Oreochromis niloticus: one gene and its partner. The protein of the gene in region 1 interacts with the protein of each later gene in a pairwise test. Links are inferred from orthologs where the notes say so. Each region holds a gene or a part of one and is shown in the gene's direction. Other genes may lie near its edges.

Region 1 (3,754 bases):
TTTTCAAGGTAACAAAGTTATATTTCCATGTGGTTTGCATCATGAGAAACAAAACAAATGGGAAGATATCTTCCTTGACCTTTCTTGACCATAATGACTTTTTCTTTGTCTCTCAAAAAGTTAGAATTTAAATTTAAACCACTTTATTTGAGATGTTTTGAATTGACTGAAAAACTGTAATATAAAATGCATCTGTGTGTTTTACTAGGACCCATTTCTGTTTAAGCTTGCATATTAATAGATTTTTTTCTTAAATTATTGGTGATAAATGCTAATCGAGTTCTTCTTATCCTTTCCATTTTAATTCTTTGTTTTACTGTATATTGAATTTATATTGCGTGAGCTCTCGAGTTAATCTACTCTTCACTTTTCTGTTTGCTTTTTATATTTTACTTGAGAAAACGCAGATAGGTGTGGAGATTTATTAAAAACATGACTTCCAGATGATATTCCCTGACAGTACTTTTCGGTGTCCATAATTCCCTCAGTGTTGACAAAATCCCCAAACAACATTGGCTGAAATGTTGCCCCAAACCATGACAAACCCAAGTTTCCTTACATACTGATGACGATTTAAACCAAAAAGAATTCAAGTTTTGATTCATCACTCCATACGACACATTTGTTACTGATTTTCAGTCCAGTTCTTGTGTAATTTGGCATCCTTTGACCTTTTCATTTTTTAAGCCTGTCACTTGTTCTTTTGTCCTCCACTTGTCCAGTTTCTATTTTTAAGGACGCCCTGCACATCATGCTGGGATGTGGCAGGTTTTTGGCTAACAGCTCTTTGGAAGTCATCTTATCCCTCTTAAACTGTGTGATCACTAACATTTTTCAAGTGCCTAAAGACAAGATTTTAAAAAGTATGTTATGTACAGCCACAAATTGATTCTTTCCTTGAGCCTTTTTATGCTTGAATAATTCATAGCAGTGTTATGTGGCTTATCAATGGTCAGGTAGAAAGGCTGGACTGAAAATAAATGAAAAAGCAGCTGATCTCCTGAGAAAAACTCAGAAAGCCGGGAAAACTACTGCTCAAGAGCACTTTAAAAATTACAAAAAAGTCTCGTTCCTTGGAAGTAATATACAGAGGAATGAGGGATGACTACACTTTTTTCACAGTACTGTAATTATGTTTTGTTTAGGTGGCTGGATTTATATGTGCCTTGAATGCTGTAATCATGTTACTAACACTATTATAAATCATTAATAATGTTTCATTATTATGTGTGACATTAAAAGGTTCTTGATTCAAAAAAGACTCGTTGAGCCTTTTGTGTTACTCCAGTTGCAGCCTGTGACCACTAGAAGCAGCAGAGTCTTGTTTCCCCGCTTAAGACGCTTGTACGCATGCTCGTACGTCAGGAAGGAAGGAGTATCCTCTCTCCAAGATGGCAGCGATCATAGACAACAGCAATGCCGTAGGGGCGACAAAGAGAAAGCACCTCGGGATCCCAGAAGCGGTTTTTGTGGTGGGTAAACCCGGACATTTGTCGCTGTGTCGCTGGTTTGACTTGTTATTACTCCGCTGAAGACACACTTGTAGCTGTAGCTTCCGGTGTGCGGGTGCAGCATGCTGGCTAACAGCTAAGCTAACAGACAAGCCTGCTGTGTGTGCAGGCTGGGCGGCAGCTCGTTTCCATCTATGGACATCACTGCATTATTGTCACTCTGCCTCGTTTCCTCTTTAGGCTTTAGGTCAGTTCATCCAGCCACACATCAGTCTAACTGGAGGCTGCTTTGGTGACATTAGCCTCCTCCGTGCACAATCAGGCAGTAAGATGAGCACATTTAGATTTAACGTGTATAGTGAATACGTCCCAACATATATGAGCTACTGCTCTCAGGTGTCCTGTCTCCTGACAGCTGCAAATACAGCACAAAGTTAAGTGTCACGTGATCTGCAGGTTATTTTTCTCCTTTAGAGTGTGCATTATATCACAGAGCCCACTGCCGTGTCCTCAGTGTGTTTGTTTCATCAGGTCAGCAGTTCAAAACTCCACCAAAACTGGAAAATGTTGATCTTCATTTACTTAAAAGCATCTTAGGCAATTAGTTTTCAGTAATTCATCACTTATTTCACTGCAAATCCTCACTCATGTATGTTCTTTGGCCTTTGCTGAGCAAATACAGGCCAATTACAACCAGACCTGGTCAGTCGATTACAGGTTGAGGTGTAGTCGTCTGGTAAAGTATCAGTCACACATGTACCTACATGCATGTGCATGTCAGAGCACAGTGCAGTTTAATGTACAGTCTCCATCTCCACCTGTCAGCCACCATGTCTTCCTCACACAGCTTTGCTTCCTGGATGTGTAATCTCCCCGTTTCTGCTCCCTCTATCCCTCACTCACCTGTGATGAGCACATGTACATTTCTAACCGGCTATCAAAAGCTGAACATCAGATTCACAGATATTATAAATGTGATTTTATCATGTGTTTGTTTCAGATTTTTATGGTGGAAACAGTTTGAGCTGTTGCAAGTCCCAACAGATCTTTCACAATAAAAGCCTTGTCAAGAAATGAAGTGTTTCTGACCAGTAAGAGTCTAAGAGGCCATTAATTTGAAAGACATGGTACTATGAGGTCTTTAAGATACATGGGGCCTGATTATTAAACATCTTGACAGTGTAATGAAGTAATTTGGTGTAAAACTAATTCCTGCATCTTCAGCAGGCAGTTTGAGTGCAAAGTTCTAATGTTGTTCTTTATTTAGAGTTGCCTTTTATTTGTCCTCATTGACGTCCAAATCACCAGCTATTCCATAACGTACAATGTTTTTTGTTACAGAAGAGTTGACTTCATAAGTTTCTTAACATTAACTTACTGAAAACATGGCATGAAGATGCCATTAGAAAAATTTATTCTGAAATGATTCCGCAATTTGTAGACTGTTGAGCCTCTGCCTGTATTTAACCCTGAGGAAATCTGCCTCTCTAACATGCTCTTTTTATACCCAATCTTGTGACTGACCTGTTGCCAGTTAACCTAATTAGTTATAAAACATTCCTCCTTCCTTCCTTCCTTAGTACCACTTTTGTTGCCCTCATCCCAACTGCTTTGGGATTGAGGTAGTACATAATCTCTCCAGTGTGTCCTGGTGCCCAAATCACCTCGCTCATGAGGCATCCCAATCTGATGCCTAAACCAGCTCAACTGTTTGCTTTCTGGTTTATTGTTATTGTTTAGTTCATTGTTAGTTAATCTTGGTTCATTCTTTCTCTCTTGCCTGGATTTTCAGGAGGATGTCGACTCTTTTATGAAGCAGCCCGGCAATGAGACGGCGGACGCGGTGCTGAGGAGGCTGGACGAACAGTACCAGAAATATAAATACATGGAGCTCAACCTGTCTCAGAAGAAACTCAGGTGACACCAGTGAAGGAACACTTAACCTTGTTGTTATGGGCTTAGACAGAGATTTGACAGGTCATTAGAGTTTGGTGTTAATATGGGACACCATCAGCTGGTGGACATCATTTCTGAGTGATAATCAAAGATTTGGACAGATATTAAAGACATTTAGTGAGCTGTTTAAAGAAGGGCATCAGCAGAATTTAGACGAATAAGGACACACACACACGTTTCATAATAACATCCAAATCACATCTCTTTGCTCGCAGGTTGAAAAACCAGATCCCTCAAATCAGACAAACGCTAGAAATCCTACGACACATGCAGAAGAAGAAGGTGCGTACGGTTGTTGTGAACCAACTTTAAAATGTTACCATTGTGTGACACCAGTGTAATTGTGT
Region 2 (3,754 bases), on another chromosome or scaffold:
ACTTCCTTCTTAAGGATACGGCGGGTCTGTCTGAGATGGACTTCCTCCTTTTGCCCAACTATGTATATAGACTTTTGTTAACTGGACACTTTATGTGTGTGTTAAAATGGGTGGGTCTGTTTTCACGTTGGCAGTTGGATTTCCTCTGAAAAAAAAAGTGCGCTGTATTGGTGCTTTGATCAACTCACAGTAATCTCCATGTGGCATCCTGAAAATACCCTGACAAGATCATAATGAGGTGTGAATCTGTCCAAGCCCACTGTGATAAGGCGGTCCAAACAGTTTGTTGACCAATCTGGCGGGGACCTAACAGGATTAAGGATATTAAGGATACCGGTCTGGCAAGCATCCACGCTGACAAAACCAAAACAACTATGTTGGCACTGGTTAAATTGAAGAGAACACTTTTAGCATTTTTTACTGATTTAGTCTTTAAAGATGCAGTTAATTGATAAAAATAAATCTATTCACACAGATGTGCTTTAACATACCCATTGTGTTGTTTTGGTATTATCTGATTAAAAAAGAGAAAAGAGGTCATCAAGGCAGGTAACAAGCTTTGTGATAAAATCATGTCAAAATGTCTGTGTTTAAAGGCTTCCACGTGTCCATAGTTAGATACTATTGATTATCAGTGTATGTCAATATGGTACTGAAGATGAACTCATCTTTATGTTTGCTTTTTTTGTAAGTAAATAGGCCATGATAATGCTGACAAAGGCTTTTGTTTTATTGGATTTAACTTCTAGAAGTCATTCGACTCCTGGAGGACGTCAAACGTCAAATCATTCAACATCTTGTTAATGCAAGTCAATCAAAGTATGTGAATGCGTTTTATCACAAACAAGCATGCTTAAGAAACAAACTAAAAAAGACTATAACATGTGCACTATTTATTGACTTTATTATGGCAAGCCCTGGAATCCATGAAAACAATGGCTCGACTGTATCCTATAGACTGCATTCTGAGGTGGGAGTTGGATTCCCCTGTTTGGTGACTTCATGCAAGGCCTGCAGCTGAGGGGCCTCAAGAAAGCTCTTCATGGTGCACCAACGCATAACAGCCTACTAGGTATGCTAGTGGTTCCTACAAAGTTAGATAAAGACTGCTGATTTTGAGACAGAAAAACCTGCATATTTACAATTTGTTTTTCACTCAGACCAAAACGCCAGTGATGCTTAAAACTACAGGTGGTGCATTGTAATTCGGTTTAGACAAATATGAATTTCTAGTCTTCTCCCATTACAGATGTATTCATTAAATATTTGAACTTGGGTGCAGTACTGTGTGCAAATATTTACAGAACAGCAGTTCCGGTTGGCATAATAACTAGTTTGGCATATTGAAAGCACGTTTGCACATTTATTGAGATAATTACCTACAACAGAACAAAAAAAATGCTGTTTTTTTTTTTTTAAATAAATCAAATTTCAGCTTTTAGATGTAAATGTAAGGGAAAGCACCTTGCGACATATCTAACTATATTTACCAGAACATGAACTCAACTAAATAATCAAATCAATCACACAAAAACTCAAAAAGAAGGAAAAGAACTGAACAAACATTTTGAGAGAAGTAAACACATTTTCTGGCCAACTTGTGGGGGTCAAACTCCAGATCAGGCCTGCTGATAGGTGGCAGTGTGGGGATATTTATTCCGCTGAGCGACGCTGCGGGTGAACAGTCGAAGAAGCAAAGATGGCAGCGACCATGAAATCGTCCGTGGTGAGGAATATTTTTAAACAAAAATCCACTTTTTTTGTCTTGCAATTTTTGTTACTGTATCGCTGTTTTAACAAGGGATGCAGAAAGAAAGGTGGCATCGTGTATGTGTGCGATTAAGACGCCGAGCTTTCTCACGGCGGTGATATTTGAAAGCGCCGTCACACCCTCGTGTAGCTACCGTAAAGCGATACCTCCTTGTGTTAAAACACTAGCTCGACATACGTTGTAATTTTGCAGCTGTTGTTCGTGCAAGCTTAAAAACTATGTGGTGAAATAATGAGCTCAATATCCAGATCAGGGCAGTGGCCGCTGCAGGTGATGGGACACCCAAGCTAGCATGCTAGCAAACAAAATAAAAACTGGCCTGTAGTTAACTGTCTAAGAAACGACAAGCTAAAGCAGTTTATGTCCCCAATGAATGACCAATACCCTGCTCAGTCTCGTTCAAATGATATTTAAGTGCTTCTGACGGGCCAACAGCACAGTAGGACGACCACATCACAACGAGCCAAATGTGGAGCAAATGGTTTTCATGTGTTGGACAATGTGGGTCACGGTAATGCTAAGAGGCAGTGTGATAAAGCTATGCGGGTTGCAGAGGATGTGACTGACGGGTACAAATCTATATGCACCATTACAAACAACTTTCCAGCTATTGCTTTTTATTTTTTTTAATGCAATAGTCTTGTATTGCAGTACTTGTTTAGAATTTGTTCTGGTGTCTGATCTGCTGTTCCCCTCTTAATAATCTTTGTGTTGAGGAGGAATGCACTGATAAATTTCTTTTAGCACTTCGAATCAACTAAATTACAGGTTTTTGAGGTTCACAGATATAGCCTATCTCGAGGTTCAAATAAAAAATGCATAGTTTATTTATTTATTTTACCCTCTCAAAAGGGAAATTGCAGTGCAGTGCCAGCAAAATCACACCACATAACTTTTATTTGCGGTATTTTTCGATACATAGTCGACTAAAAGCCAGACCTGTGCTGTGGTGAATTGGGGCCAATTCGAAGTCCAGGACAGGAGGTGAAAAATAAAAACATTGTGCAATCCCGCATAAAGTAGGCCACTTGGTCACTCTAAATGAAACTGAACACAGCTCGTTGGTTTTACTCCTTAGGCTTGATTTAAAAACAAAAACCCCACACACATTCTTTATTTATAAGGCTTATTTTGATCTTACTAAATGCTTTTCCCATCATAAGGTGGTGGGTTTTTGTTGTTGTTGTTGTTGTTTTTCCCAGTTAACACAGTTGACATGTCCTTGTGATGCTTGTGATTTCATCTTTGGAAAAGTTGCTGCTGAACAATACTTATAACTCATAGCAGAATGAGCTAAATTCTGTCAGGGCATGTAAGATTGTCATGTTTAACAGGCTAAAATGAACTGCAAACTCAAGTCATTTCTCCTTGTTTGCAGGCAGTTGAAGATGTGAATGTAACGTTTGAAGACCAGCAAAAGATCAATAAATTTGCCAGGAACACGAATCGGATGACGGAGCTGAAGAATGAGATATTGGAAAGGAGGGTGAGTACTACCGGGGGTGGGAAGACGTGGTTTAGTCTTATATCGGAGCAAGGATTTAGAGTGTTCAATTAAATTTACAAAAGTCAAACTACACCCAGATGTGAGTTTTTATATCTAGATAAAATTATTACATTAAATTCAAAATGACAACTGGCACTCTGATCAGGAAGATTGAACTTGGTTAATGACTGGAGGAGAAGTCTGACTACTTAGCACTTTATTTGAATCGGCTTGTGTTTGAATTTAACAGAAAGTAACCTCATTCCTTTATCACTTGTGCACTGGTTTCACTTTCTAGCCTAGTTGCTGGAAAAGTGACTTTAATTAGCTGTTTGGTAAACCTTGTCATTGTCCTGCTGGTGGATATGGATATCCATGGAGATGTTTCTAATGCTCTTTTGTTGTCCTTTTACTTTAAAATGACCACAAAACTGACTCAGTCGATACTTTGGACCACATTTACTCTCATCAGCACAAACCTCTTGGTTTAAGGGAAA

The links. The genes of interacting proteins can lie anywhere in the genome.
Region 2: the proteins of vbp1 (region 1) and pfdn4 interact in binary tests that used the Homo sapiens proteins (3 or more experiments, as listed by UniProt). The link is inferred for Oreochromis niloticus from reciprocal best matches to the Homo sapiens genes VBP1 and PFDN4.

Annotation. Positions count from the first base shown.
Region 1 is NC_031967.2:30,268,390-30,272,143, forward strand, and holds the start of vbp1 (prefoldin subunit 3), read left to right. Parts: upstream 1-1,328; 5' UTR 1,329-1,391; coding exon 1,392-1,472; intron 1,473-3,243; coding exon 3,244-3,368; intron 3,369-3,622; coding exon 3,623-3,689; intron 3,690-3,754. UniProt on the Homo sapiens protein: Binds specifically to cytosolic chaperonin (c-CPN) and transfers target proteins to it. Binds to nascent polypeptide chain and promotes folding in an environment in which there are many competing pathways for nonnative proteins.
Region 2 is NC_031984.2:7,714,333-7,718,086, forward strand, and holds the start of pfdn4 (prefoldin subunit 4), read left to right. Parts: upstream 1-1,588; 5' UTR 1,589-1,699; coding exon 1,700-1,726; intron 1,727-3,149; coding exon 3,150-3,257; intron 3,258-3,754. UniProt on the Homo sapiens protein: Binds specifically to cytosolic chaperonin (c-CPN) and transfers target proteins to it. Binds to nascent polypeptide chain and promotes folding in an environment in which there are many competing pathways for nonnative proteins.